Linked DNA regions of Stegostoma tigrinum. The protein of the gene in region 2 purifies or fractionates together with the protein of the main gene of each other region. This does not show direct contact. Links are inferred from orthologs where the notes say so. Each region holds a gene or a part of one and is shown on either strand. Other genes may lie near its edges. The genes, in order: mtmr1b and sbf2.

Evidence for each region.
Region 1: the proteins of sbf2 (region 2) and mtmr1b purify together in Homo sapiens (affinity purification with mass spectrometry; 3 studies listed by BioGRID and IntAct, with this or other methods). This does not show direct contact. The link is inferred for Stegostoma tigrinum from reciprocal best matches to the Homo sapiens genes SBF2 and MTMR1.

What each region holds. Positions count from the first base shown.
Region 1 is NC_081368.1:14,657,583-14,673,572, forward strand, and holds the start of mtmr1b (myotubularin-related protein 1b), read right to left. Parts: upstream 7,546-15,990; 5' UTR 7,464-7,545; coding exon 7,369-7,463; intron 7,353-7,368; exon of another isoform or gene 7,257-7,352; coding exon of another isoform or gene 7,222-7,256; exon of another isoform or gene 7,173-7,221; intron 1-7,172. UniProt on the Homo sapiens protein: Lipid phosphatase that specifically dephosphorylates the D-3 position of phosphatidylinositol 3-phosphate, generating phosphatidylinositol. Could also dephosphorylate phosphatidylinositol 3,5-bisphosphate to produce phosphatidylinositol 5-phosphate.
Region 2 is NC_081370.1:26,317,546-26,333,350, reverse strand, and holds the start of sbf2 (myotubularin-related protein 13), read right to left. Parts: upstream 8,206-15,805; 5' UTR 8,129-8,205; coding exon 8,074-8,128; intron 1-8,073. UniProt on the Homo sapiens protein: Guanine nucleotide exchange factor (GEF) which activates RAB21 and possibly RAB28. Promotes the exchange of GDP to GTP, converting inactive GDP-bound Rab proteins into their active GTP-bound form.

The DNA.
Region 1 (15,990 bases), on a different chromosome or scaffold from region 2:
CCGGCTGAACACACAGCCACCAATAGTGAAGGAATTAAAAGCTGGGATGAACAACAGGCCAGGGAGGGCTGTGGGGCTGGAGGACATTACAGAGACAGAAAGGGATGCCACTGTGAAAGATTTTGACAGCAATTACAGCAATTTTAAAACCAAGGTGAAGTTTGACAGAGCTAATAGAACATAGAACATAGAACATAGAACAGTACAGCACAGAACAGGCCCTTCAGCCCACAATGTTGTGCCGACCATTGATCCTCATGTATACATCCTCAAATTTCTGTGACCATATACATGTCCAGCAGTCTCTTAAATGACCCCAATGACCTTGCTTCCACAACTGCTGCTGGCAACGCATTCCATGCTCTCACAACTCTCTGCGTAAAGAACCTGCCTCTGACATCCCCTCTATACTTTCCACCAACCAGCTTAAAACTACGACCCCTCGTGCTAGCCATTTCTGCCCTGGGAAATAGTCTCTGGCTATCAACTCTATCTATGCCTCTCTATGTTATAAAACAAGGTACAGCAGAGCTTTAGAATTACGTTCTGTTTATTAAAGGGCAGAACATGGCAAGTATAGGTGCAGCAAAATTATAAAGGAGGATTTCAGATGTTGATGTATTTTCAACTTGGCTCAGTCTTTTTGCACTGCTCTGTTGTGACTTTTCATCCTTCGATGTTTTAATTTAAATCTACTCTCTAGCCCTCCTGTCAACGGAAACAAGTCTCACCATAAATTCCGCTGCCTAAAAGAGAACAATACCAGCTTCTCTAGTGTCTCCATGTTGCTACAGTCCCTCACCCTGAGACTATCTGAATAAATCTCTCCTGCACCATTCCACATGTCTGCCTTTATGTGATACTAAACATATAGTCATAACATTAACTCATATTGCCATATGTTAAACAAATAAGATAGTCCTGAGTTGGTCAAATTCTCAGCGTAATATACATATATCATGAACACTGAAAAACGCAAACACTCGGAAATACTTCTCAGATTCCAAAAAATTAGATCATCTAAAATCGGAGGTGCAAAATATTCATTCCCAGGAGTTTATAGTTGATAGTTTAGAAGATCAGTGAACTGACACGTGTATTTCCCCACTCCGCTGGTCTTCACGGTTATTTTCGATTCCCCACTGGAAATCTTTTATACTCATGCCAGAACAAAACCTGCAGGGTCTGAACCCATTCCCCTTCTAGTCACCAAGGATCAGATTCACAAAGCAAATCAACTAGACAGCCACCAACAGAAACAAAAGCACAGAAAATGCTACTAACATACAATCGTTCAGTCAGTCAGCACCTACAGGCTAACATTTTTGGGAAGGGTCTTTCATCAGAACAGTGAGGTTTTGGCAAAGACTTCACCTGGAATTCTAACCCTTCTTTACCTGCTGCCTGCTCTCGTGCTTTTTTGTCTTTGCTCCCAGACTTTTAGCAAATGTATTCTGTCGTGTATTTTCACATCAACAAAACATTCAATGGAACCAGCTCAGCATTTATCAGGAAACAGAAGACAACTGGTCCGTTCGCACCTCAAAACCCACAACCTCTACCTCTTAGAAGGACAAGAGCAGCAGATACATGGAAACACCACCCGCTGCAAGTTCCTCTTCAAGTCAGCACACCACCTTTACTTGGAAATTCACATCACTGTCTTCACAGTTACTGGGTCAAAATCCTGGAACTCCCTCCCTGACAACTTTGTGCACGTATTTACACCAAATGTAGTGGTTCAGGAAGGCAACTCACTACCACTTTCTCAAGGTCATTTAGGGCAATAAATGAAGCTCCAGCCAGCAAAGCCCACACCCCATGAAGAAGTAAAGTAGTTAAACAGAGAAAATAAGTTTGCCAAATTTGTGAATAACTGCAAGGCAAGAGAACTAGTACAAGTCCTGCTCCTCTGATGCTGCCTGGCCTGCTGTGTTCATCCAGCTCCACACCTTGTTATATCAAAAGTTTATCAAGATGTGTCTTGTCACTCAGAGATAGTAAGAACTACCGATGCTGGAATCAGAGATAACAGAGCATGGAGCTGGATGAACACAGCAGGCCAGGCAGCATCAGTGGAGCAGGAAAGCTGATGCTTCGGGTCTTTTTCTGAAGGGTCCCAACCCGAAACGTCGGCTTTCCTGCTCCTCTGATGCTGCCTGACCTGCTGTGTTCCTCCAGCTCCACACTGTGTATCTTCTCACTGATGTGTTGGTCAGTTGGATCCAGTCATTTAAAATAAATGGCACCCCACACTTTTGTGTACATCAAGTTGTAAATTAATTACATTGTAAACAATATTGAGATTACTTATGAGGAAAGGCTGAGGGACTTGAGGCTGTTTTCGTTAGAGAGAAGAAGGTTAAGAGGTGACTTAATAGAGACATACAAGATGATCAGAGGATTAGATAGGGTGGACAGTGAGAGCCTTTTTCCTCAATGGAGATGGCTAGCACGAGGGGGCATAGCTTTAAATTGAGGGGTGAAAGATATAGGACAGATGTCAGAGGTAGGTTTTTTTTACTCAGAGAGTAGTAAGGGTGTGGAATGCCCTGCCTGCAACGGTAGTAGATTCGCCAACTTTAAGGGCATTGAAATGGTCATTGGATAAACATATTGATAATGGAATTCATTATAATGGAATAGTGTAGGTTAGATGGGGTTCAGATTGGTTTCACAGGTCAGCACAACATCGAGGGCCGAAGGGCCTGTACTGCGCTGTAATGTTCTCTGTTCAATGTTCTAATGAGCATCGAACTGGGTTCAAAGGCTGGGCAAATTTCAACTCTTCGGTCCAGAAATTTATTTCATACGAGTCCTTCCATTTGTATGAAGTAATTTCCTAGTAATGCACTTAAATGTTGCTGAACATATTTCAGTAAAATCTAACAGCAAGGTAATTGTTCAGATTCTACACATTCAGGATATTTTCTTGAAACAATGCGCACATTCTCTTAACACTGAGCAGAACTTGTAGGCACACGGCTTCCATTTCACCAATTCTGAAACAGTGCAAGTGCTCAAACTGTAGTTCTGTCCTGTTAATCCCTCTCCATATGACACTCGGAAAGATGAGGATTCAACCATTACCTGTAGCATTATGAAACACTCAGACATGTAGACAAGTCTGGTTAAGACAGGGGCCTGGTATAATGCTGATGTTGGGGTTCAAGGAGCCAGTCTTGTAAACTACCCTTCATATCGTTGCAACATTTCTCTGCCATTTGCAGGCTGACCAGAAAAATGTCACGATTGCCATATCTCCAACCTCTGCCATTTGAACATGTGAAACGGGAGCAGAATTAAACCATAGAGCCCCTCGAATTCTGCTCGGCCATTCAGTAAAATCACGGCAGGTCTGTTTGTGTTTTGAATTCCACATCCCCACACTACAAACCCCTAAGAACACTTGATTCCTCTGGCTAATGAGAGTTTGTCTACCTCTGTTTTCTAATTATACAATATCCTCCAGCATATTCTGAGGCAGAAAATCACACAGGCTTCAGTGAACGAGCTAAACACACAAATCAGGAGCAGGAGAAGGTGTAGATGCTCGAACCTGCTCTTTCATTCAATAAGATGCTGGCTGATCAGACTGTAATTTCAAATTCATATGCTTGCCTATCGTCACAATTTTTGATCACCTTGCTTATTAAGGATCCATCCAGCTCTCCTTCAACATTTTAAGGACTCTGATTCCACAGCCTTTTCAAGAAGAAAGTTCAGAGACCCACAACCCTCAGAGAGGAACAAAGAAAAATCACTTAATCTCTGTTTCAAGTGGATTATCACTGGCTTTTGAACAGTGACTCCTAGTTCTAGCTTCTCCCTTGACGTCCTCCACATCAGCCCGGTCAAAACTCTTCAGGATTTTATATCTCATCTACCTCTACCATTGGGCCTGATTTAAGGTAGAGTTCAGCTTTTTTTGTTATGAATTTAGAGGTGTAGAAGTTACAGACTGCACCAGCATTTATTACCTTTATTATTGTGGTGAACCTTGAACTGCTACAGCTCACGTGGCACAGGGACGGCCACAATGCCATTCGGGAGGGAGCTGCAAGATTTTGACCCACTGAAATGGTGATATAGCTCCAAGCCAGTTGTTGAGTGGTTTGGAGGGGAACTTGCAGGTGGTTCTATTCCCATGTATCTGCTGCCTTCTTCCTTCTAGATAGAAGTGGTCTTGGGTTTGAAAAGTGCTGTCTAAGAAGGCTTAGTGAATTTCTGCAGTGCATCTTGTAGATAGTACACACTGCTACAGCTCACGTGGCACAGGGACGGCCACAATGCCATTCGGGAGGGAGCTGCAAGATTTTGACCGACTGAAATGGTGATATAGCTACTGATCTCCAGTGGTGGGTGCTTGTGGGTACAGTGCCAATCAAGCAGGCTGCTTTGTCCTGCATGGTGTCAAGCTTCTTGAGTGTAGTTGGAGCTGCACCCATCCAGGCAAGTGGGGAGTATTCCATCACACTCCTGACTTGTGCCTATCGCAGGATATGCTTTGGGGAGTTAGGAAGCAAGTTACTCGCTTCAGGATTCCTAGTCTATGACCTGCTCTTACAGCCACTGTGTTTCTGTGCTGAGTCCAGTTCAGTTTCTGTTCAATGGATGTTCAATCCCCAGGGTGCTGATAGTAAGGGATTCAGCTTAGCCCTTTATCTCACTTGCTGCTTATATTTTTTGGCATGCAATTTGTTCTGTGCTGTAGCTTCCCCAGGTGACATCTCATTTTTAGATATGCCTGTCCTCCTGCACTCTTCATTGAGTAAAGACTTGACAATAGGAACTAGGAGCAGTGGTAGGCCATTCAGCCCCTCAAGCCTGCTTCACTGTTTGATACGATAGTGGCCGATCTCATCTTGGCCTCAGTTCCACTTTTCTGCTCCCTCTCCATAACCCTGCAACCCCGTACTAATTAAAAATCTGTCCATCTCTTCCTTAAATTTATTCAGTGTCCTGTGAATAATAGTTTTATGAAGCCAGATTGAACAGTTTAGGTCTATATTCTCTGGAGTTTAGAAGAATGTGCGGAGATATGTTGAGGTGTCCTGATATCTAATGCACTTGGAGGTAGTAAATTCCAAAGTCATGGCACTTTGACAGAAGAGATAATGGGAACTGCAGATGCTGGAGAATCCGAGATAACAAAGTGTGAAGCTGGATGAACACAGCAGGCCAAGCAGCATCTCAGGAGCACAAAAGCTGACGTTTTGGGCCTAGACCTTCACTTTGACAGAAGCAGTTTCTTTCTACATGTTTCTGCTACCCCTCAGCCTAAAACTGTGACCCCTCATTCTAGATGGGCCCATATAACGCATCCTTTCCAAATCTACTTTCTCAATCCTTTTTAACATCTTATATACCTCAATATGATCTCCACACATTCGTCTAAACTGCAGACAGTATAGGCCTAAACTGTTCAATCTCTCTTCATAAAACATGCCTTTCATCTCTGGAACTGATCCAGAGAACCTTCTGAGGATCGCTGCTGAATTTCTGTAGATACAGCAGACTACTACTACTGAGCATTGACGGTGGAGCGAGTGGTGGCCTGGCTTGATGATAATGTTGGGAATGGGAAGTCTGGTGGACCAAGGGGTCGTTGATTGTGCTTAAGTAAAATTCTGCCGCTGCTGATGGCCTATAGCACACCCGATGCCCAGTCTTGAATTCCTAGATCTGTTTGCAATCTATCCCCTTCTGCATGACAGCAGTGCCACACAGCATGATGTAGGGTGTCTGCAATACATGATCATGACTTCAGCTACACAAGACAGTTTCTGTTTGACTTCAAGACGACCAGCCAGGCTGCATGTAACAGCTTTGTTTTTTCCTATTTTTACATTGGATCTGGATGAAGTTCGTAACTGCTGTGTCTCCTTGTATGATCACTGCTGAAATCAGTCATCTTCAGCCCATAATTAGTTGTATTTACAAGTCTGCCAATGAGATAAGGAATAAATAACCAGCATAAATAACCATAAACTATTTGCACTGGTTGGGCATTCTAAGACTACACAGTATAGTTTGAGAATTAAGGCTGGATTATTCAAGTGAGAATGTTTAGAAGCACTTTGACACACAAAAGGCATAACTCTCTCTTACGCAAAGGACAATGGATCAGTTGTCAGATTTAAAATCTGAGATAGATAATGTTTTTCTTAAGCAATGGGTATTGAGGAATATGGGACAAAGGCAGGTACGTGGAGTCAGGTTACAGATCAGCAGTGGTCTCACTGAATGGTGGAAAAGGTCCGAGGGGCTGAATGCCCTGCTCCAGTTCCTAATTTACGTGAAGACCGGCTCAAAGCTGCAGGCCGTTTTTTTTGGTGGGTACCTTGATAGGAAAAATAGTTTACATTTAAGTAAAACTGTCCCTCATTGCGGGACCACGACTTCACATAACTTCACCAATTTCTTTCAGCAGCTTCATGAATGGGATGATTTCTACCACATCACCGGCCTGTTCAGAAAATAATTAGACCCAGGAAGGAAAAACATTTGTAATAAGTTGGATTAGCGCAACATTCAAAATGCAATTAATGCAGTTTTCTGGTTAACGTGAAAACATTCATATACAAGTGTTCACATTCCAAAACCAGGAATTGACGACACGGCAATTAGTTCAAAAGACACTGGCCCAAAATGCACCTTCCGACGAGCCTGCAGCCTGAGCTCTCTACACTTTTCCCTGGAATTCACGGCCTCTTGTGTCCCTGTTCCCAACAGCGCAGCCCATCCCAGTGCAAACCCAACCGGGACTCCATGCACCGTGCCCGGGATCCCAATGCAAACCCAGCCGGGACTCCATGCACCGTGCCGGGGCTCCCAACACAAACAGAGCCCGGGATCCGTGCACCGTGGTTGGGATCCCAACACAAACAGAGCCCGGGATCCATGCACCGTGGATGGGATCCCAATACGAACAGAGCCCGGGATCCGTGCACCGTGGTTGGGATCCCAAAACAAACAGAGCCCGGGATCCGTGCACCGTGGTTGGGATCCCAAAACAAACAGAGCCCGGGATCCGTGCACCGTGGTTGGGATCCCAACACAAACAGAGCCCGGGATCCATGCACCGTGGTTGGGATCCCAATACGAACAGAGCCCGGGCTCTATACTCCGCGCCCGGGATCCCATTGCAGAGCCACCGGGCCTCCACGCACCGTGGCTGGGATCCCAATACAAACTGAGCCCGGGGTCCATTCACTGTACCCGGGATCCCATTGCAGATCCAACGCAGGCTCCATGCACCGTGCCCGGGGATCCCGATGCAAACAGAGCCGGGGAAAGTCGTGCTCCACAGGCGCCTGGGCGGCTCCCTCTACCCGCTGGCCCCAGTCCCAGGCCTGGACCCGCTACCTTTCCGGTGAATCCAAGCTCGCTTGCCCGGAGCCAGTGGCCAAGCGCGGTGGCCTCTTTGTGGCCAGGCTCTCGGAAGTGCCCAGCCTGTCCATGGCGGCCGCCTTTTGTTAGAGGCTCGGCCTCGGAAATCCTCTCAGTAACAGCTTCACTCCGGCGCTTCCTCTTCCTGTAGCTGCGCAGAGTCAGAGTTCAGCTGCAGCCAGCGCCGCAAGGAGACCGACACCTGTCAATCACCGGGACATGCACCTGTCAACCACCGGGACATACACCTGTCAACCACCGGGACTTGCACCTGTCAACCACCGGGACATACACCTGTCAACCACCGGGACTTGCACCTGTCAATCACTGGGACTTGCACCTGTCAATCACCGAAACTGACACCTGTCAATCACCGGGACTTGCATCTGTCAATCACCAAAACTGACACCTGTCAATCACTGGGACATGCACCTGTCAATCACCAAAACTGACACCTGTCAATCACTGGGACATGCACCTGTCAATCACCAGGACTCACACCTCTTAATCACTGGGACATGCACCTGTCAATCACCGGGACTTGCACCTGTCAATCACCGAAACTGACACCTCTCAATCACTGGGACATGCATCTGTCAATCACCGAAACTGACACCTATCAATCCCGGGACATGCATCTGTCAATCACCGAAACTGACACCTGTCAATCACTGGGACATGCATCTGTCAATCACCAGGACTGACACCTGTCAATCACCGGGACCCACACCTGTCAATCATCGGGACCCACACCTGTCAATCATTGGGACTGACACCTGTCAATCATTGGGACCAACACCTGTCATTCACCTGGGACCAATAGCTGCCAATCAACAGGCTGACAGCTGTCACTCCCTGAGAATGACAACAGTCAATCAATAGAAGACAATGTTCCCGGCACCATCAGTGTTTTTAAATCTTTCTGATCGTTGAAAATCAGCAGGTTGCCAGCCGTCCATCACTAAGTGATAACCCTGCAGCTGGATGGCCATCTGTCAATCATTGGGAAGGCTGGAGATGCATTAGATTGATGCACAAGGTGCAAGAAAGCATTCTCAAAGTTCAATTTCACTGTCTGGGCCCAGCATTTAATACTCATCCCTAACTGTGTGTGAGGAGGCCATTAGAAGCTAATTTCATGAATTATTGCAGTACTAGTGATTTAGGGACAACCACAGTAGTGTTAGGAAGGGTGTTACTGGGCAGTAACTGAGTAACAGTAAAAGGACTACAATAAATGGTCATGTCCAAACGGTGTGTGACTTAAAGAGCGATTTTCAGGCGATGCTGCTCCTACATACCTGCAGCCCTTGTGCAGGTGGTGCATGTCCTGATTCAGATGATGCTTAGAAGCCTTAATAAGTTAATGCAGTACATTTTTGTAGCTGGTGCACTCTTTGCTATTGTGTGCAGTGATGAAGAGCACAAATAAATAAGCTACCAGTGCCTGACAGTGCCTTTTAAAAACGTAAAGAACTGTGGATGATGTAAATCAGGAATAAAAACAGAAGTTGCCGGAAAAGCTCAGCGAGTCTGGCAGCACATCTGTGAAAAAAAAGAGCTAACGTTTTGGGTCCGGTGAACTGCGGAAGGATCGCCAGACCCGAAATGTTAACTCTGATTTAAACTTATCCAACATTTCCAACTCATTTTCTTGATGGCTTATCCATTAATCAGTGAAGGTTTCAAATCAAGTTTGCTGTTCAATAGGAAAGCAAAGAACACAAACAAATCTGAGGAGGGGATGGACAAACAAAGCAGCTTCGTCCCAGTCCTGATTTTTCTATTGCTGGATACAAAGAGATCCTGGAGATTTTTTTGTACTCACATACCTGAACTAATTTCTTAAAATTACATTCGTAAAATATTGCATATTTTACATTTTTCTCCAGTTTAAAAATTATAAAGAAAATAGCCCAAAAAACTGAAATTGAATGAAACAATTAGCCACACAAGGACCACAAAATTTCACTTACTGAAATCAGATACTACTAGATCATGTCATAAACATCAAAGGGTAATAAAGACCTGCACGTTGACAAAATTAATGTCCAGATAATATTCTAACACAAAAACATGAAGCACACTAACATTCAGCTGTCTAGACAAATGCATCCGGTAATTTTCCTCTTTTCCCAAGCAGACATTTCCTGTAATTTTATATTTAATATAAGTCCAGTGACTGTTGTTTTTGTCAGCTCAGTTAACAGTCATTACAGTTGCACCCCAGGACATTGTTTTGCAGCATGCTCTAGCAAACGTTCCAATTGTACAACTGCATTTTCTCATCACATTGAAATGTCTGACAAATGCTGATAACTTACTACAGAGCACTAATTGTTTCAATTTCATGACTTACTGTGTTGTGTTTTAAAAAGACTTCAATTTCATTATGCATAAATATGCTACTATGATAAGAGTACATGGTAAGCCATTGTAAATAGTCGGTCTGTTACCATTAAACTCTGAACCACCGAGAAGAGTTGGAATTAGAAATAGTATGGCAGCAAGTAAAAAGCATGTTTATACAAACTGAGATGTTTCAAATTCTCCCATGGAATGTAACATTACTTGCATTGTTACCCATCCCTAATTGCCCTTGAGAGGTTGGTCGGCATTTTCTTGCTCAGCTGTAATGCATGTTGTTCAGGTACACCTACCCTGTTAGGAAGTCAAGTTTCAAGATTTTGAACCAGTGACAATGAAGAGGTGATCATATAATTCCCAAGTCAGGCTGGAGTGTGGCTTGCAGGGGAATTGCACATGCTGGTGCTTCTATATATCTGCTGTCTTTGTCCAATGCGGTAGAGCTCACAGATTTGGAAACTGATATCAAAGCAGTCTTGGGGTGGTGCTGCAGTGCATCTTACAATTGATACACGATGCTGCCACTATGTCGGTGATGGAGAGGGTGGATGTAGAATGTGGTGAATATGGTGCTAATCAAGTGGACGAGATGGCTTGGAATTTCTTCAGTGCTGTTGGAGCTGCCCCATTCAGTCAAATGGAAATTGTTCCATCACACTCCTGACTCATGTCTTATGTAGTGTACTGGCTTTGGAAGCAGCAAGTTATCTTGGATTTAAGGAGACTTCTAAATGCAAAATTAAAATTAAATGAATATTTACATTTCATTGTCAACATCATGGTGATTTGTGTATATTTGTTGTGGGTGATGCACAATTAGCAATACAAGCATTATATATTAAACAGCACAATTTGACTATTGAACACAATACTTTAGGGATTGCAAAGTGGTTCAGTCATTAGTATTGTTACCCCACAAAGCCAGAGATTTGTGTTCAATTCCACCCTCAGGCAAAATGGGTCAATTGGCTGAAAAACAGCAGATGGAGCTCAATCTGGTAAATGTGAGGTATTGCATTTTGATACAACAAACCATGGTAGGGCTTACACAGTTAATGGTAGGGTTTTGGGTAGTGTTGTAGAAGAGGGACCTGGCAGTCAGGTGCATAATTCTTCAAAGTTTGCATCACCTATAGACAGGGTGGTTAAAAAGGCGTTTGACACGCTTGCCTTCATTGTTCAGCCCTTTGAGAATAGAAGTGAGAAGTCATGTTAAGGTTGTACAGGACGCTCCTGGAGTACTGTATCTAGTTCTGGTTGACCAGTTACAGGCAGGATATTATTAAACTGGTGAAGGTTCAGAAGAGATTTACCAGGATGTTGCTAGGTATGGGAGGTTTCAGCTCCCCTCTCACGTTACAAAATGTGCTCCCCAGTCTTCAAATCCCACACCCTGGTGGAAAGACAATTACCATTAACCCTATCTTTACCCCTCATTATTTTATAAACTATTATCAGGTCACCTCTCAACCTCCTACATTCCAGTAAGGTTGCAGCCCATCTAGCCTTTCTTTATAACTCAAAGCACGGGTGAAGACAGCAGTAATTGTAGCATACAGTATTCATGCTTTATTATTAAGGGCATATAAGAACAGGAAGGGCATGTTGAACTTATACAGGATACTTGTTTGACCTCAGATGGAATATTATGTACAGTTGCAGGCACCAGGTTATAAGAAAAATGTGCATGCGTAGGGCAGAGTGCAAAGGTGATTCACCAGAATGGTTCCAGGAATAAGTAGTGATATCTTGAAAGGTGTCCATATTACAGAAGGGGAGGTGCTGAACATCTTAAAATGAAGTTAGATAAATCCCCGGGACTTGATCAGGTGTATCACAGAATGTTGTGGGAAGCTAGGGAAGTGATTGCTGGGCCCCTTGATGAGATATTTGTATTGTCAACAACCACACGTGAGGTATTGGACATCTGAAGGTTGGCTAATGTGGTGCCATTCTTTAAGAAAAGCTGTAAGGAAAAGCCAAGGAACTATAGACCAGTGAGCTTAATGTCAGTGGTGGGCAAGATGTTAGAGGGGATTCTGAGGGACAGTTACACACACATGGAAAGGCAAGGACTGATTAGGAAAAGTCAACATGGCTTTGTGTGTGGGAAATCATGTGTCACTAACGTGATTAAGTTTTTTGAAGAAGCATCAAAGAAAACTGATCAAGTCAGAATGGTGGCATTCTCTATATGGACTTTAGTAAGGCCTTTGACAAGGTTCCACATGGTAGACTGGTTAGCAAGATTAGATCGCATGGAATACAGGGGGAGCTAACCAATTGGATACAAAACTGGCTTTATACCCTCTTGATCTTACACAACGATATGCAAATAAAGAATTCATGAAAAATGTTTATCAAGAGTCAACCATGTTGCTGTCAAGCTGGAGTCAGATGTAGACCAGATCAGGCAGATGATGGCAGATTTTCACCCCAGCACTCATCAAAGGAACAATAACAGTAGGACATAGATTTAAATTGCTGTGCAAAGGAATCAAGAGTAATATGAGAAAACAAAACTTGTTCATACAGCAAATTGTTAGAGTGTGGAATGTATTACCAGGAAGTTTAGGGAAGGCAGGTTGATTGCCCAGAACTGAGGAAGGGTCACCAGACCCAAAATGTTAACTCTGATTTTATCTTCATAGTTGACTGCCAGACTGGCTAAGCTTCCAGCAAATTCTGTTTTTATTTCCGATTTACAGCATCCGCAGTTCTTTCAGTTTTGATTGCCCTCTGAAATGGGCCAGCAAATCACTGAGTTCAAGAGTAATTAGGGATGCCCAATAAATGCTGTTCCAGCTAGCAATGGCCACTTTCCTTGAGTGAATATAAAAACGAATGGTCTATTACAAAGTATATTAGCTACCCTGTAGCCCTGCTAAGGCTCAATGGCTCCCGAAGCTTTCATGCTTCAGATGTATAATTTTCATTTTTAAATATAAAATTCTTTTCCCTCGCTTGGTCTTGTTGTATAAGACAGTTCGTACCCAAAAGTGTTAACTGATACCATGAGATAAGCTTCACCCACCAGAATACTAAGGACTGTTCCTGGGAGCGGCCAACCAGTGTTCAAACTGTTCGGTCACGTTTAAGTTGTGGACAAGAACGTTTCAGTGGAAATTATGTGTATATATTCTTAAGTACAGACTGGGTTCTTAGAAAATGATGTGGAAGTGCCAGTGTTAGACTGGGGTGGACAAGGTCAGAAATCACATGACACCAGGTTACCTCGAGCTCTTCACTTCACTTGACAAAGGGGCTATGCTCCAAAAGCTTGTGCTTTCAAATAAACCTGTTGGATTGATGTTGAGATTTCTGATCTTAGAAAAGACACTGATGTTCCTCAAATGTAATGTAATTAGCCTAATAGTTTATTAAGATGAAGTCTATTTTCTGCTGCCAACTGTGTGTGGGCATCCTTCTCCAATTGGTATCAGTAACTTGGACTAATACCAGGGAGGATTCATGGAAACAAATCCACTGGAAGCATCCCAAATGCTTCCAATGAACATGGCCTCAACACAACATATTTGCAACTCCCAAAGCTGCTAGCATTGTGCAGGGGCATTGTGGGATTTTGCAATCTTATAGCATGCCCTAGTTCTGTGACTCCATCATGCATGGTGAATGTTTACAACCCAAACAGTTTTGTGTATCCCCATCCTTTGCCCATCATTGATTGTCATTGTATTAATTGTCCATAGTTCATGGTTTGAGATTTATGTCCTGAACCCCGTTGCTTCCTCCCGTGGCCAGTCTTAAACATAGAAAATTAGAACGCAGGACTAGGCATTCAACATGATGATGGCTGATCCTCTATCTCAATGCTGTATTCCTATTTTTCCTCCATACCCCTTGACACTTTAAAATCTTAACATTTATCTCTCCCTTTCTCAAACATGTTCAGTGACATGGCCTCCACACCTTCCACAGGTTCTTTACCTTTTCAATGGAAAAGTATTTTCCTCAACTCAGTCCTAAATGACCTCCCCTTATCCTGAGACACTGGCTCTGGTTCTAAACTCATTGACCAGGGGGGGAAAAAAAAATCATTCCTGCATCAAGTCTGACCAGCCCGGTTAGAATTTTATATCTTTCAAACAGATCTCGGCCTTCTAAAGTCTAGTCAATAGAGGCACACTCAAACCTTTCTCTCCTGATAGGACAATGCTATCACTTTTCAGCCTCAGCCTCATGAACTTTCACTGCACTCTCTCGAAGGCAAGTGTACCCCTTCTTGGTTAGGCAGACTAAAACTGTACACATTACTTCAGATGTGGTCTCACTGGAGTAAGACATCTCCGCTTCTGAAGTCAAATCCTCTTGCAATGAAAGCTAACATACTATTTGCTTTCTTAATTGCCCACTTTACCTACCTGTCTTTCATTGACTAGCATACAAGGACACCCAGGTCCCTTTGCAAGTCCTCATTTCCCAATATATCTCACCATTCACATAACGCTTCTTTTGTTCACATGGAAGTGAATAACTTCAAATTTAGCAAGGTTGTACTGCAATGTGTTTGCCCACTCATTTGTCTCATCTAAATCATCTTCTCCTCACAACTCATCCTGCCCAGTGTTGTATCATCATAAAATGTTGGATTTGGTTCCCTCATCCAGATCATTTACATGTGGCCATGAAAGCTGGAGCCTAAGCACTGATTCTGGGTGTGCCCACTAGTCAGTGCCTGCCACTTCTGTCCACTTTCTTCAATTAATAGCTCTTTCCTTGGCTGAGAGTCAACTTTCCTTTCATCTCAGCAAACGACTGAGACAATTTCTCTATTGAAGTGTGGTTGTTGCAAAGTTTTCATGTCACAGTGTATACAATGTTACCTGGTTATTCAATAGTGAAGAAACCAGTTAAGCACACTCCTATCTTCCCTGTGTAGCCATAGTTCTATTATCAGAAAACATCATTCTCCATTGTCACTGAGGTCAGCTGTTATCTCCCAATGATTACTAATGGATTCATTTGGAGACTGGGGCACACTGTTGTAATGCATAGGAAATATACAGTAGATTTTGCAAGCATTAGTTTCATGTTGTACACTTTTTTAAAAGTCTGGAAATATCAGATTTAATCTTATTTTGTACAGGTATAGAGTGATACATATTCTACACATCATGCTATGACTGTCTGAAGGTGGGTCCTTTGATTAAAAAAATTCATTCACGGGACATGGACTGCACTGGATAAGCCAGTATTTATTGCCTATCCCTAATTCAGAAATGGAACCAAACTGGGCTAGCCATATAAACGCTGTTGTTATGAGCAGGTCAATAGGCTAGAAACTGTGCAGCCAGTAATTTATCTAATTGCCCAAAGCACAGTTGAGAGTCAACCACATTTCTGTGGGTCTGAAGTCACATGTAGGCCAGACCAGGTAAGGATGACAGATTTCCTTCCCTCCTGGACTTCAGTGAATCAGATGGGTTTTTCTGGAAACCTAGGTCCCCAGACCATTACCTGGGTCTCTGGGTTAATAGTCTGGTAGTAATACCACTAGGCCATTACCTCATTACCTGAAGAATTATTTAGACATCACAGGCAAGATTAGATTTCCAGTAGCTCCTCACAATCAAGTATCTGTCCCTCAGTCATTCAACTCCACACCAAGTACCCCCTGCACTACAATTGCAGGATCAGAAGCGATGGATACAGGACAATGTACAATACAGGCTTCATTAAATTTCATGATCAATATAAGGTTACAGCTATTCTATCAAATAGTAGTATATGATTAAGGGACCCTAGCATAACTGGAGTCAATGGGAATGGAGGGGGGAGTTTTTGCTGGCTGGAGTCATACCTAGAACATTGGACAATGCTTGTGTTGTTGCAGGTCAATTACCTCAATTCAAAGAAATTACTTGGCTGTTAAGTGGTTTCCTCAATGATTTTCTCTCCATTATAAAGGTCAGAAGTGGAATGTTTACGCAATATTTCAGGTTGAGTAAAGAAGGGTCACCAGACCTGAAATGCTGACTCTGTTTTCACTCCACAGATGCTGTCAGACTGGTTGAGTTTCTCCAGCTGTTTGTTTTGTTTTAGGTCTTCAGCATCCGCAGTAGTGTTTCTTGGACAATATTCCAGGTTGTGACAAGTGGTAAACAACATCCAGGCCATGCAATTGACGAGCAATGACCATCTCCGACAGAATCAAACCATTGTGTTTGATATTAAATGGCAATACCATCACTGAAACCCCCATTGTCAACA
Region 2 (15,805 bases):
ACACAACTGATACCGCAGCGCAATGGTGGTGATAGGAGCACAGCTCAAAATATACAAAGGGCAACTAGCAAATTTGCCAAAAGCTCCCAAAATGCCACCGAAAATTCAATTACAGGAGAAACCAGGGAAAAAGAGATATTGCAGATTGAAATGACAGAATTGGTGAGGATCAGCTCCTCTAATAATACCATTCCATCAACTCGCAAAAAGTACAGGAGAGAGTCAGGCTGCAACTGTAGCACCAAGCTACAAAGGGGATCTGTGTTGCCATTGAGGAAGTTGCAGATGGAGCTGAGAGCCAGGGCTTTTACCTGATGAGTGGGGAAACAGACTGCAAAGGAGAAGGAAAAATAAGAGCTGGAGGTAAAGTTAGCCAAAAATCAAGAGAGTTACTTTGGATGTTTAAGAAAAACAATGAGTTAGATCAAGTGTTGGTCTTACAGAAAATTAGGCTGAGGAATTAGTTACAGAGGACAAAGAGATGGCAGATGAATTGAACAGATATTTTGCATCAGTATTCATGAGAGGGGATATGGGTAGCATCTGGAAATAGCTGTAAATCAGGAGTTGAAAGGGAGGGAGGAAGGCGAGAAAATTACATTTGCCAGGGAAATGGTAATGGGTAAACTGTTGGAACCATGAGTTGACATGGTTCCAGGTCCTGGTGGATTTCATCCTAGGGTCTTAAAAGTAGCAAGTGAAAGTTGATGCATTGGTTTTAATATTCCAAAACTCTTAGATTCAGCAAGTTTCCTTTAGATTGGAAAGGAGCTAATGTAACTCCTTTGTTCAAAAAGAAGGAAGACACAAAGCAGGAAACTTCAAACCAGTTCGCTTAACATCTGTCTTAGGGAAAATGCTGGAAGCTAAAGATGTTTTAACAGGGCACTTAGATGAGTTCAAGTTAATTGCACAGAGCCAACATGGCTTTGTCCAAGGGAAATAATGTTTAACTAATTTATTGGAGTTCTTTGAAGTAACTTGTGCTGCAGATGAAGGTGAAGCAGCAATTTATTGTACTTCGATTTCCAGAAGACGTTTGATAAGATGCCACACAAATAGTGATTGCAGAAAATAAAAGTTCAAGGTGTAGGAGACAGCATTTTGGCATGGACAGAAATTGGCCGATAAGAGGAAACAGAAGGTAGGAATAAATAGGTCTTTTGTGGACTGGCAGGATGTTACAAGTGGTGTACCACAGAGATCAGAGCTATGATATCAACTCCTTATATTTATATCAGTAACCTGGTTGAAGGGATTGAAGGTACTGTAGGTAAATTTGCTGAAAGAAAGTTGAGGAGGATAGAAGAAGCCTGCAAAGGCTTGTAGGTAGGTTAAATAACTAGGAAAGGTTTTGGAAAATGGGAGTGTGTGTGAAATTGTCCATTTTGGCAAAAAGAATGAAAAAAGAACATATTTCTAAAAGGTGAGAAGGTGCAGAGATCTGAGTGTCCTAGTGCATGAACCACAAATGGTTAGTAATGCAGGTACAGTACATAAACGGGAAAGCCAATAGAATATTGTAATTTATTGTGAGGAGGACTGAATGCAAGAACAGTGAAATTATGCTTGTTGTTGTACAGGGCATTGGTGAGAAGGATGTTGTGTGTCATAAGCAGTTCAGATAAAGTTTACTTGACTAATATCTGGAATGTACAGATTGTAGCATGAGGAAAGATTCGCTAGCTTAGGCCCATATCCTCTGGAGTTTGAGGCACAGAGGCGGCCTAATTGAAACACAAGATCCTGAGGGAGACCTGACCAGATGAACATGGAAACAGTATTTCCACTTGTTGTCATTTTCCCACAAGAGTTATTATTTAAAAATAAAGGGGGCACCCATTTAAAACAGATGAGGAAACACTTTTTCTGCCAATGATCAAGTGTTCTTGAATTCCCTTCCTCAAACGCTGTGGAATGCAGAATCTTTAAATTTAAGGCAGAGGCAGATTCTTGATTACTATGGGGATGAAAGATTTTCAGAACTATACAAAAATGTAGAGTTGAGGTTAATATCATGATCTGAATGAATAGTGGAGCAGACTCAAAGAGCCAAGTGACTCTTGCGACTTGTTCATGTGGTCGGCAAGTGTTCATATAGCTCAGTCTAGGTTCAGCTAACTTGTGAAAGTTTCCCATCAGGAACATATTTTATTCGCCCTTTCTAATTTATTCCTGGAGATTAATGCATTTTTGAGTGGGAGCAGATAGCAAAGAAAAACACAGTGAGGTTTAGATTCGTTGAGGCTTGATGATTGCACAATTATGGTGTGGAGCAAGTTTAGTGTACAAGTTGATCTTTACAGAGTATCAGTATCAATTTTCTGTATATTTATGGTCTACCCACCCCAAATTATTTCAAATGTTAAAATCATTAACATCTGCATACTTCAGTCATTTGTTGTGTTAATGTTATTTTATTTACTGCAACCTTTCTGCTCCACACAAGGTGACTGCCACAGGTACAGCCAGAGCTTTGTGGAAAGTGACTTGTAGGCAAGTCATAAGAGAGCAAGAAAACCTCTCAAACATTTTCTTTTAGGTTATAACAGCTGTATGCCAACTACTGTTTTGAACACTGCATTGCTTCTGATATGAACTCTTAAAGCCACCTATGATTATCTTAAAATACATAAATAGCTAGAGTAAATTAATCTACACTAAAACAAAAGATCAAAGAACTATACGTTCATTCATCACTTTGAAGAAATGAAAATTTCTCTTACATCACAAACTGGTTAAAACATATTTGACAAATCATGTTAGTCATTTCTGTAAACTCCACTATTCAGACATTCACATCACAAAAGGAAGCCATTCACCCCATTACATCCAGAACAGTCAAAGATCTGACTGCACTAACCAACTTTCAGCACTGGGCTCATAGCCAGACAAGCTACGGCAGTGCAAGCAAACATGTAAATGCTGCAAGAGTTTCTAGCTCAGCCATCTTTTCAAGCATTGAGCTCCAGACTCTCATCGTCATCTGCAAAAAGATTTCTCAACTCTCCCATTAGCCTTCTACCTCTTACCTTAAACCTACGCCCCTGGTTTCATATTAATGGAAAAAGGTGCTTTTCACTCCACCCCATTTATTCCCTTTATAAAAAAACCTTATACACCTCCATTAAGTGCCCTCAACCTTCACTGCTCCAAGGACCCTCCAACATTGGCAACATCCTGGTAAATCTCAACAAATGCAGACAATACGGTATCTCTCAGAATTCTAATAACTGTCCCATCATTGAGGTTAAACTGACTGGTCTGTTATTTTTTGGTCTGTCCCTTCCTCCCTTATTTTTTTAAATAAACAAGACAATGTTAGCACTTCTCCAGTCCTCACTACTATAAAGGCAGTGACCAGAGAGGCTAGTATTCCACATACCTTAACCACATTTTTACCTGCCCTGCTACCCACAGGAATCTGTGGATACACACACCAAGATCCCTCTGATCTTCAGTGTTTCCCTGGGTTCTGCCATTCATAATGCAAGGGATATCACTATCTCACTTTTCCAGACTGAATTCTATTTGCTACTGCTCTGCACAGCCGATCAGTCCATCGATATCTTCTTGACATTTACAGCTGCTCTCCTCAGTATTAATCACTCTCCTAACTTTCATCCCTTCAACAAACTTCTTGGTCCATACCTACTATGTCTACCACCTAATGATGAACCTACACAAAAATCAAGGACCCTAGCACCAAGCCTTGAGGAGCCTCACTGGAAATAAACCTTCAATCACAGAAGTATTTCTCTTCCCTTACCCTGTAATTCCTGTAGCTCAACCAATTTTGGATCCAACACGCCACCCTGTCTTGGACTCCATGCATTCTTAAATTAACGAAGTCATATAGATTACTTTAAATGCATTACCCTCATTAACACTCCTGGTTACTTCATCAAAATTCAAAACTGACAAACAAAATCTTCCTTTCGTAAATCTATGCTCATTCATCAATGTCTCGCTGAGAGCAGATATATTCTGTCCCTCAACTCTTGTAACTGCCTCACCACCAAGGTTAAACTGATCATTTCCTGGTCTACTAAAAACAAGGAAGAGGTAATGGGACAACTTAGCAGTTCTTCAGTCCTCAAACACCTCACCTATGCTCAGAGAAGATTTGAAAATTACTGCCAGAGTCCCAAAAACCACATCCCCTGCATCCCTCAATAGCTTGGGATACATTTCATACAGATCTGCAGACATATCCCTACTTTTAAGACTGTTAAACCCCCTTCTTTCTATCAACTTCAATTTCTTCTGATATTTCACTGTCCTCCAACCTGATGTCTATACTGGAGTCATCTTTTTCCATTGGGAATACTGCTGCAAAGTATTCATCTTCCAAAAGGAAAACTTCTGTGGTATTTAATGGGCTTATTTTCTTGCTTTTTATTATTTTTTGGAAATCCTTGAGATTTTCTTTTATTCTAAATACCTGAACTTTCTTGATCTCACTTTTAAAGGTCTCCCATGCACTTTTTATACTCCTCCAGAGACTCTTCCACTTGGTATCTGCCGTAAGTTTCATGCGTTTTCTTAATGTGGAGATGCTAGTGTTGGACGGGGGTGGACAAAGTCAGAAGTCAATGACATCAGGTTACAGTCCAGATTTATTTGAAATCACAAGATTTCTGTTTTGAAGTCACCCGAAGGAGAAGCACCGCAAAAGCTTGTCATTTTTCATTAATCCTAAGCATTGTGTCCCTTAACCCCATCCTTGTCTTTACTGAAAATAGGTTTGCCCTGTTCTCTTACTATTTCCTCCTTGAATGTCAAACTGTATTTTATCATAGTAAACCGAATGATAAATAGAAAATAATACACCATGATCCTAGACCCAAATACAAATCATCACCCTTTTAATTGTTTGAAAAGACAGCCGTCAGTGGCTTCATGCAACTCCACCCCCTGCTCTGGATTACAATACAGTCAAAGCACCTTCTTGTCACCTAGTTGTACCCCTGGACCAGGGTGCTTGCGTACAAGTTCAACTTGCTCCAGAGGTGCTAATACATCTGAATAGGGTGATTAAAAAAAAATACATTAAATAAAAGAAAATTGAAATTTGAAGAACATGAATGGCGAACAATACAAGGAAACAATCAGCAATGGCCTTGACCACTCATAAGAAATATCAAGTTTTATGGCTTCTGTGCTCCTTCATTGACCCCGCAAATTTGTATGAATATGAATACAGGCAAACTTTAAATACATTACATTGCCACATACATCTTTATCAGGGGCTGTTAATAGGAGGGATCTCTGGCCTTTCTTTTCTCTTTCTCTCTCTCTCTCTTTCTGGGGCTCTTTGGCCTTGTAGCTGCAGTCTTCAACATGTCCAGGAGCAAATAGTCCATGTATTTTGGCATGCACCGAAAACATCAGGAGGGTAGCACTTGTTTGCTCTCAATTCTACTCATTAGAGTTCAGAAGAAACATATACAATGTCAGAATAAAATGTTTAGGTAATCCAGTGAGTTTCAGAAAATCATTATACAGATTCTAAACTGAGTTTTTCTAATCTGTAAAATTAGAATTTTATGTACTTACGTTAAACAAAAATATTAACTGGGATAGTGTAGGGCACGGGCTTAGATTAGCTCACAGGTTGGCGCAACAGCGAGGGCCGATGGGCCTGTTGTGCACTGTACTGTTCTATGTAATTCCAGGAATCATAGAATAACAGCAAAACCATTCTCAATTAACATTTTGATTCTTAAGAATAGCCCATATAAACAGCAGGGAGGCAATTAAATTCATAAAAGAACATTAACTTTCTGAAGAAAGACAGGCACTGGATGGTGCACCATGCGACTACAACATGTATCTTCTCGATTACATAAACAGATACTTTTATTTTGCAGTCAGGTCTATACAAAAATATCCTAAACCTCCCAAACACAAACAAAATCTGGAATTAAAACAAGTTTGTCACAATTTCTGGACATATGTTTCAAAGTACACAATTATGTATTACAATGGTAATTTATTTGCCTTGCAGCATTTATTTTTGCAATCACAGAATTAAAACTGTAGTAGTGCACACAGCTGGCCTTCGTAACATAATAGAATCATAGTGAAATAAAGTTGTTTGCATTGTGCCCTGAAGAGGAGAAACTGTAGGGTCTCTAAGTAACTGTCACTCACTCCACATGATTGACTTCTAATACTCTTTATGCTTACTTCATTAGCCACTCAGTAGCGAAATGCTCAAGGGACAACTAGAAATGGACAGTAAATGTACCAATGTCCTCCAAGAGAAAAAAGTTTTTAAAAGCAATGCAAATAGTACCACTCAATATTTTCAGATATTGTGAGCTTTTAATGGTAAGAGATTGACAAGTGCATTGTTACTTAAAAAGTGGGTATTAACAAAGTGTTGATTATGGGTATGATTTTAGGCACTCATAATAAAAACAAATTTAGAAAGTAGGCCATTCAGTTCCTCAAATCGATTCCATCCTTCTACTTTATTCGTAGTTCATCTGTACCTCAATTCTAATTCTGATCTTAGCTCCCTATCATTTGTCTCAATTAACTCGTAATCCATATTCTACATTATCAGCTAACTGTACACATAAATACATACTTGGCTTTTTTCAAACAGACTAAACAAAAAGTGCCATGGTCAGTCAATGATATCCTTTTACCAAAAAAGGAGCTTAAAATTCCTTCAAATGTCAGTACAGATAAGAAAATGGCACTCCAAAAGCTCAGCTTTTCAAATAAACCTGTTGGATTATAACCTGGTAACCTGTGACTTCTGACTTTGCCCACAACAGTCGAAACTGGCACTGTCATATCATGCCTTACATTATCCCACATTATGCTCCATCTACCGCGACCTTCCCATTCATTAAGTTTCATCAAAAATCCTCTTCTACATGTCCCTCACAGTCTCACTGAGCTTTACATCACACGCAAATTTGGAAATATTACATTTGGTCCCACCTCCAAAAACAAAATCACCATGCTTATGACTTGGCGTCAATCTCCTATCATTTCATCCAGAGCTGGTTCAGACAGCATCCTTCTGCACTCTAATAATTGTGATTCTGCAATCATGAATGCCTAAAATCTGAAGGTATTCATATGTACTGAAATATCCTATTTTTTGTTCCTTTTCCTCTTTCAGATATTGACAGACCATACAACACCAATATCTGTTTCTAAAACAAAGGTTACATGGTGTGAATTCTGTCCAAAGGGCAGTGCCAAAGTGTAAAAATGTAATATTTCAAACAAATCAAGACAGGACAAAAGCATTATCTGTATGGATAAAATACTATTTTAGGCATTTACATTATATATCATGGCAAGAGATTGCGTATAAGCTTTGTAAAAACTGGTCTAGCAAGTGGTTGCTGTGGTCAAAGAGGATGGCCATGTCAGTCTGGAGTTTCAGCAGCTGGCCATATTCTTTGGATGTCTGTAAAATACTGACACAGCTCCTTTGGTTTCGTATACTTCATGAGGGCAGGTTATTTGGACGTTACAAATGAGATGCCAAGTTGCTATTGCATTCCTTGAAGAACATAAGTCGCAAACTTGAGATTTCCTTTTTAATGTATTACTTTTTCCTCTGCTAATTCATTTGTGTCTTTTTAACTATAGACATATGTACTACTAACATCAAAGCACTTCACTGGAAATGTTCGGTAGCAGTAACACAGGAAAAATAACTGCAACTCAAGGCTACCGCCGTACTTACAAGAACATGTGTTAAACTCTCCAGTCATTCCGCACGCCAATCATTCGTCACTCCAAATACGACAACAGATTTGTTCTCCTTTATTATTTTGAAAGATTCAGTTATCAGACTACACAAAAACTAAACTAACTTGCAGAAAAGACCTTAACAGGCCAGACCAGCTCACATTAGTCATATCACCATCTTATAATTAAATAACAAAGCAGTTAAGTTTCCACCCTTGTCCCACCGGAACAACTCAGCTGCTCTGGCAGGCACTCACGGCCTAACAGGACTCTCCTCAGACCAAATGAAATGGCCACACATCTAACGACGTCTTGTAAAATTTTGAGCTTGTTTTAGTAAAAACTCACCCGTCTTTTCAGGGTCGTAACCAACAACCACAAAGTAATCGGCCAATCTCGCCATTTTTCGTGAATTCAAGGTTCGAAACAGAGAAACTCAACATTTTTCATACTGGTAAAGCTCAGCCATGTTGAAATCGCTCCCCCCCCCCCCCCCGAGAAGACAATACGCGTGCGCTGACAGGCCTGACCCTGATTGGGCGGCGGCCTGGCTTCACTGGCTGTGCAAGCTCGCGGAGGATAAGTGGTGCTGGGGGAACAATTGGAGTCGGGAGAAGTAAGGACGGGGAAAGCAATCCGAGCCGCGAGGAGTCGGAACAATTAAAGCCAGGTCAGCCAGCAGCATTCTTATCAAGTCAAGTCGCTTCTGGAAACCAGGGTTTTGGGATGCACATTTACTGTTCCATTTCCAGAAGTGTTCAGATCACCACAGAGTGTTTCTCTCTCTTTCCCATTCGAGGGATGGGACGCAACCTGACGAGGTGATACACGCTTGTTATCCTCGTTATTGCTGCAACTTGAAATGCTTCGTTATATATAGCTCCAGGTCGAGCAACAGAATCAACAGCTTAAAGTGATTGGAGCAATGCAATTCGAAACATTCAAGCTGACAGTCTTGGAAAGACTGCAACCAGAATAATAGTGTCAAATTTGTGATTTTCAATAAAATCAAACACTGCAAATCGAAGAAACGGAAAACAATAAAATCAAAAATTGTGGCTTAAAACCAACAGGTAAATTGATACGAATCCGAGCATAGTTGCATTCTACGGTAGTCGGCTAGTATGCTGCGAATATTCTGCAAGAGAGAAGGATATAGTTCAATTCAACAACTGAAGGAACAGAAACAAAAAATGCTGGAATGTTTGAGGACAGAATCCGTGGGAAGGATAAATAATTCCCGTGTAGTCCTTCATCACTTCTGAATAAGGGTCAATATTAGAAACAGTCGGACCGTCTGTTCTGTCTGCAACTGTTGGGTGAACTACGCATCTACAACATTTCCTGTTTTCATATTTTCGGTATTTGCATTTGGTCTTCCATTGCGTTCTACAATTTAAGCAGCAGATAGTTGCATACTGACTGTCAGGGGTCGGATGTGTCAGAATCATTACGAGTACCCAAAAAGTGAGCACAGATGTACATAAAAGAGTTTGTGCAAGAGGCTTGCAGTGATATCAAAGGTAAAATCTGTGGGACAGTGACAAACGTTGAGAAAATGTTAAGTCATCAGTGACAATAGTGTTTACAGTCTTGTAGGATATTCAGGCTTCAGAGAGTTCAGCACATTGCTAATATGAGGATATGCAAATAAATAAAAGGACTGAAATCTGTATCTTTTGATTTAGAACAATTCAGGACAATATAATTAGTACTGTGAAACAGTGGAATAAGATTTATAGAAGTAGACAATTTGCAGAGATACTCTGGATTTCACTTCCATTAGAATCATAAAATAATTGCAGCAAGTAGGGAGACCATTCAGCCCAGTGTGTTCATGCTTCACTTTCTACAAGAGCAACTCATCTAGTCCTACTGATGTGCATTTTCCCTATAACTCAGCAACATTTTCCCTTCAAATAACAACACAGTTCTCTTTAGATATCCTCAATGGAGGCAGAAACTGTATCAATATTGAAGGATAATTTAGTAAAGGTTTGGGAGGTTAGGGAACAGGCTGGGTTTTATTTTAATATGCAATTTCCATGTCTAGATTTTTTTTAAAGTCCCAAAAAATTGTTCCAAAGTAAGTATGTTTTAAAATAAAATTTTCAATTAATCTAAAGAGGCATACCATGATTAACAGGTATTGTAGTCAATACAGAAAATTCTACTACTTTGAGTTCATTTCCCAACGGGTTGCAAATACTTGAGACAATAGAGACAATCTCTTTCAACCTTATAATTTCAAATAAAGATATAACATAATTTTTCTCGTTTCCAAGCTGTCAACAAAGAAATTACAGTTTTGTTACTCTCAGTAATTAATTGACTAGTACTAATAAAAAAGAGCATTCATAATTTTTCATTCTCAGACATGGTTGGAACAAAGCTTTGAGAATTGTATTGCTAGTTTGTCTCAAAGTCTTTTGATTAATTGAAGGAAACTCAAATTCTTGCAGAATAACATCAAACACTTCACTGCTTTAATTCAGAAATCAACTGATGCATTCTGGGAAATTCACCAGGGTCCACGCTCTTAGAATACACAAATATGTTGGTAATCCTCCAACTGCATGAGGGCAACAATATCCAGTTGACCCATTACATTTTGATTCTGCTAAGGCTAGGAAGTAATAAAGTCTCCAAAGACTAATCACATTTCACTCAAAAACTTCAATAACATTATTCTAAAATATGTAACGACTTTAAAATGTCTCTAAAACATTTGGTTATTAAAAGCATTTTCACTATCAATTCATGAAATATGAGCACCACAGGTAAGGCCAGATTTTATTACAGCCTTCTTGACCTGCTGCAGTTGACTTGATGAGGATACATCTACAGTGCTTTAGGGAGGACATCCCACATTTTGACCAGTGTTAGTAAAGGAGTAATGATTTTTTTCATGACAGAATTTCTGTGATTTAGATGTGCTGGCATTCCTATGAACCAGCTGCCTTTGTTCCGCTTGGTGGTGAAGACTGCAAGTTTGGGAGACATACTCTGAAAAAAACCTTGGTGATTTGCTGCAGTGCACCTTGTAGAGCCTGATATACCAGGGGTGGAGGGAATTAATATTCGCCATGTTGGGTTGTTTGCAGATCAAACAGACTTATTTATCATGGAATGGTTGCATGCCTGTTGGGTGTTAAGGAGACCCACACAGGTAGAAATGATTGCATCATATGTTTGATATGCCTCTGGAAGGCATAAGGTTTGCAGGGTAAATCACTTGGCACAAAATACTTAGCCTGGTACGCTTTTGTCCCAACAGAATGTGTGTAGCAGGTACAGTTTTTAAGTTTCTGGCCAAAGTTGAGCTCAGGATTTTGATCATGGGGAATTCAACAATGGTGACGCTATTGAATGGCACCTGTATGAAATGAATTTTTCTTGCCATCTACCAGTCCAACCTGAATGTTGTCCAGACCTTGCTATATGCAGGCATGACTGCATTATCTGAGGAGTTACAAGTGAAATTGACTTTATAAAAACATCCCTACTTCTGACCTTAAGATATCTGGAATGTCATTATTGTAACAGTGAGGATAATTGGATTTAGCATAGAACACCTACAGTGTGGAAACAGACCCTTCGGTCCAACAAGTCCACACTGACACTCAGCGTATCCCACCCAGACCCATCCACCTAATCTACACATGCCTGAACACTACGGGCAAATTAGCATGGCCAATCCACCTAACCTGCACATTTTTGGATTGTGGGAGGAAAGAAGAGCACCTGGAGGAAACTCACACAGACACTGGGAGAATGTGCAAACTGCACACAGACAGTCACCCGAGGGTGGAATTGAACCTTGTGAGGCAGCAGTGCTAACCACTGAGCCACCATGCCGCCCTCAATGTGGAATTCCTGCAGCTATGTCTTGGAGCTGAAATGAATGGATTGTAACAACTACAATCTTCAGCAATGTATGACTTTAGCTGGTGAAAAGTTTTTTTTTCCCTCACATTCACTGACTTAGTTTATTAGGACTCTTTGATTGTCCAAGTTTTCTTCGATGCAAGTAGCCACTGTCTCCACCAAATATCAGATTTTTTTCCACAAAACTCATTTTGAGTGATTGTAAATTTTTTCTTTAATTGATCATTTTTCTCACCAGTCCTTCAGGATTTATTATTTTTGTCAGGAGTGTGTGATGCCATCCTGTTAGACCAGTTACTGGGGTTGAAGAAGCTGAAGTTACAGCCCACAGAAATGAAACTACCTGGCATCATTGAAATCACTGTCAGGATTGTAAGAATATTACAGGTCACACTGCAATGTACTGCACATAAGAAGTTTTAAAATGTATAAGCAACAGCAATCAAAAATCTTCACATACTAACAGGCAATAATGTGTCAATCTCAATTTCATTAGAAGAGTTCAAGGAGACTGACAACCTCACAGAGATCAAATGGCTTGGAAATAACAGTGTCAAAACACTGCTCCAGGAAACAATACTGTGGCTGAGCAGCCAGTCAATGTGCAATCAGTAGAAGTTTCTTAGATGCATGGCAGAAGCCAAATAGATGAAAGAATCCAAAAAGATTACTTAAATTAGCTTAAGAGAATTATTTCATACTGTTAATAGAGAGAAAGCCAAATGCTCTGCAGGTGGGCAGTAGTAGAAATATTCATTCCTCTGTCTTCTAATACAGTGAGATTTCAAGAACAACTGAAAATGTCAAAAAGTTTACTTTTTCACTCAACCAACGAGAGAGGGTGATTGAAGACATCCAATCGTTCAACAAATTGAGAGGGATAAGTTGCACATTATAGTTGCATGATAAAATTCCGCGTCTGCCAGGCCAATATCTATAATTCAGGACATTGTCAAAAGAAATTGTCTGGCTTAAGTATCCAGAATACTGCAAAGATAAAAAATATTTTCCAATCACAAAGCTATCACAGTTCCAGTAATCCAGGATACTATAAGAAATAAAATATTTGTTTCAACAAAGCAGCTGGCTTCCATGATGGGCAATCACAAAATTAAGGGTCCCTTGGATGAAGTTAGGGAGCACCTAGCTGAGTTATCAAGGAGAGGTTTATCTGTAAAGTGATTGCAGGAGATTAAAAGCCTTCCAGACAGGATATGGGAAGGTCACCATATCCTACAGGGCTGCTGACTTAGAGAGAAATAACTTGTGGGCAATTTACCCTGAGGGTCACCATTCTTCAGGTGAGGGGCAAGGTTGAGAAAGCATGGTGTAGAAATTGAACCCACACTGATGAGTCACTCAGCATTCCAAACCAACTATCCAGCCAAATCAGCTATCTGACGACTCCCACAGCCACTAACCTGTTCCCCCAACAGATAAGGAGCATGTGTGTGAATCACCAAGAAATGATCTCCTCTAGAAAGGATATCCAGGAGGTAAAATATTCTACAGAGGAGAAATTATCCACAGGCTAGTATTAAGGTCAAGCTCAGGCAGAAGATCAACCATTCTTCCAAATCTGAGCAGACTATATCCTGACAAAATTGTGATCTGCCCAGACCGCCTGCATTGGTGAAGTCAGAGACTTGAGAGAAGATGGACTGGTAATAAATTTAGAAATATTAGTGCACAATGGCTAGCAATGGGAAGAAAATCTTGAGGTCAGATTTAGTATGAGGTAATGATTAAGAAAGAGTTAATGTTCATGTTACATTGAACACCACCTGGTCTGATGACATCACACAGGCTTTGGTAGAGGCTGTTGAATTCTGCACCAGAACTCAAAGGGAGTGGATGTACTCTATTTGATTCTTAAGTGTTCTTAACAATTCTACCTGGCAGAAAATATAAACTGTACTTGTTGTTATAAATGCAGTAAGCATTTGATGAAGATGAAGGCCCCTTCTGTTTAGACTCCAGTGGCCTATCACTAACTGCACTGGAAAATGCCTGGGACATTACCCAGGGTGGGCAGAGTCAATGTTAATTTTATGGGGAAAGCATTGGATCAGAATCTGCTGGACACTGGACCTTGAAGGTGCAAATACATGAAGCATGTATTTGCAAACTGAAGCTATATTTCATTTTCAGACATTTCATTGTCCATTTGCAACACCTGCAGAGTTGTCATGTTGAGGGTTCAAATGTTGATTGAAGGTAATTTACACCTTGCCATTTAGTTGTTGTAAATTGAACATTGCTATCTCAGTGAGGTCAAAATTGGCTTAAAAAGAAGTGAATATTAGCCAAAAGTGTCCTATAACTTGTGAAACTTGCAAGGTGCTGTGAGAGGTGGAGACAATTGCTTAATCGTCTGTAATGGTGGGCTGTACTGAATGCAATAAGTTTCCTGATTGATGTGGGTCTGGGATGAGAAGAAGTGCAGCCAGCACTCCATTTGAGTGTATAATGTGTTTTTTTGATTCATTCACGGGATGAGGAATGTCACTGGCTAGGCAGCATTTATTGCCCCTTCCTAATTGCCCAGAGGGAATTTCAGAGTCAACCACATTGCTGTGGGTCTGGAGTGACATGTAAGCCAGACCAGGTAAGGATGGCAGTTTCCTTCCCTAAAGGGCATTAGCGAACCAGGTGGGTTTTTCCTGACAATTGACAATGGATTCATAGTCATCATTAGATTCCTAATTCCAGATATTTATTAAATTCAAATTTCACCATCTGCCAAGGCAGAATTTGAACCCAGCTTCACAGAACATTATCCAGGTCTCTGGATAAACAGTCCAGTAATAATACCACTAGGCCATCGCCTCCGTGTTGGTCACTGAACTTACGCAGCACCATCGCCAAGTTGGTGCACATGCTGAATGAATTATTGAGACACAGGCCTGGTTCTTGGGGTGCTGCATGTCGCGCTATGTGGAGAGGTGTATGCAACCATCATCTATGCCGCCACTGATTATCTCAGAGCTAAGAACCTGTTTTGCTCTGTATGTTTCCAATGCAGGTCATTGCCAGCAAGAGTCATATGCCCAGCTACAGGTGGGATGTTGATCACTGTGGCTGCTTTCCAAGGAGCTGAAGGCTGATACAGAAGGAGCAAGGCTCACAGAAACTCCACGAGCAGCAGCAGAGCACCATGGAGGAGCATCTTGTACAGGCACAGTTGCAGCTACTGTGCCCCTAGGATGCGTTGGGTTTACAGGAGGGATTTTTCACCCCTTTTCTTGCGGATAACCAAGATGCAGCACCAACACAAGCTTCTATGTCCCAGGACACTGTGATGGAACAATGCAGGATTCCAGAGCAGGACTCGAGGGCTCCAACTGTTGGAGGCCATCTTTCCCAGTTCACCCTGTTAATGTGACAACTATGTTGAACTTCTATGCCACTGGCCCCTTTCAGGGAGCAATGAGAAACCTATTTGAGATCTCTCATGCACCCACAAATACTTGAGGACAATGGCTGAGGCCATCTTTGCAAGATCAAACCAGTTCATTTAGTTTCTCAATTACAAGATCGGTGCTGCAGCCTAGCTAGAAGGATTCAGAAATGTAACTGGCATCCCCCAGATCACTTTGGCATTGACTGTGCGGCACATTGCACTGAAAGGACCATATCACAAGTGTGTGTGTAACAGGCACGGGTGGATGTAATCTCCACTGTGCTGACAAAGTGTGCCATATCTTCCGAGCGTGCTGTGCTTTGCACAATTGGACCAGGCAATGAGACAATGTGCTCATTACGGAGATGTGGGAGCACTTTACTGAGGACAAGCACACTGCAGAGGTGGAATCTGTCCTTGTACATGACAGTGGTCAGCTACATCGGGTAGTTCAAGGCAGGCAGGAACTGATTAATTATTTTTCTACTCAATGAGCGCTAGATGGAATGCAAAATAGTCATTCATCATCATGGCAGTATTTTGTTTGCATTGTGGAGATGAACTGCAGTCTCTGTTCATTTTGTTTGTGTTAGCTCTTATTGATTTTAAATAAAACCTTGTTTTGGAATTGTCTGATTGTTTGCCAGTATGTGGTGTTCATGTAATGAACTATGACAAAATCCAGGCTTACAGTGGGCATTGAGGACAGTTTAGCAGTGATCTAGAGAGGGCGTTGAGACAGATGTAGCTAAGAACAGCTAAATTGTGTAGCCTAGTAGCTAAACAGGA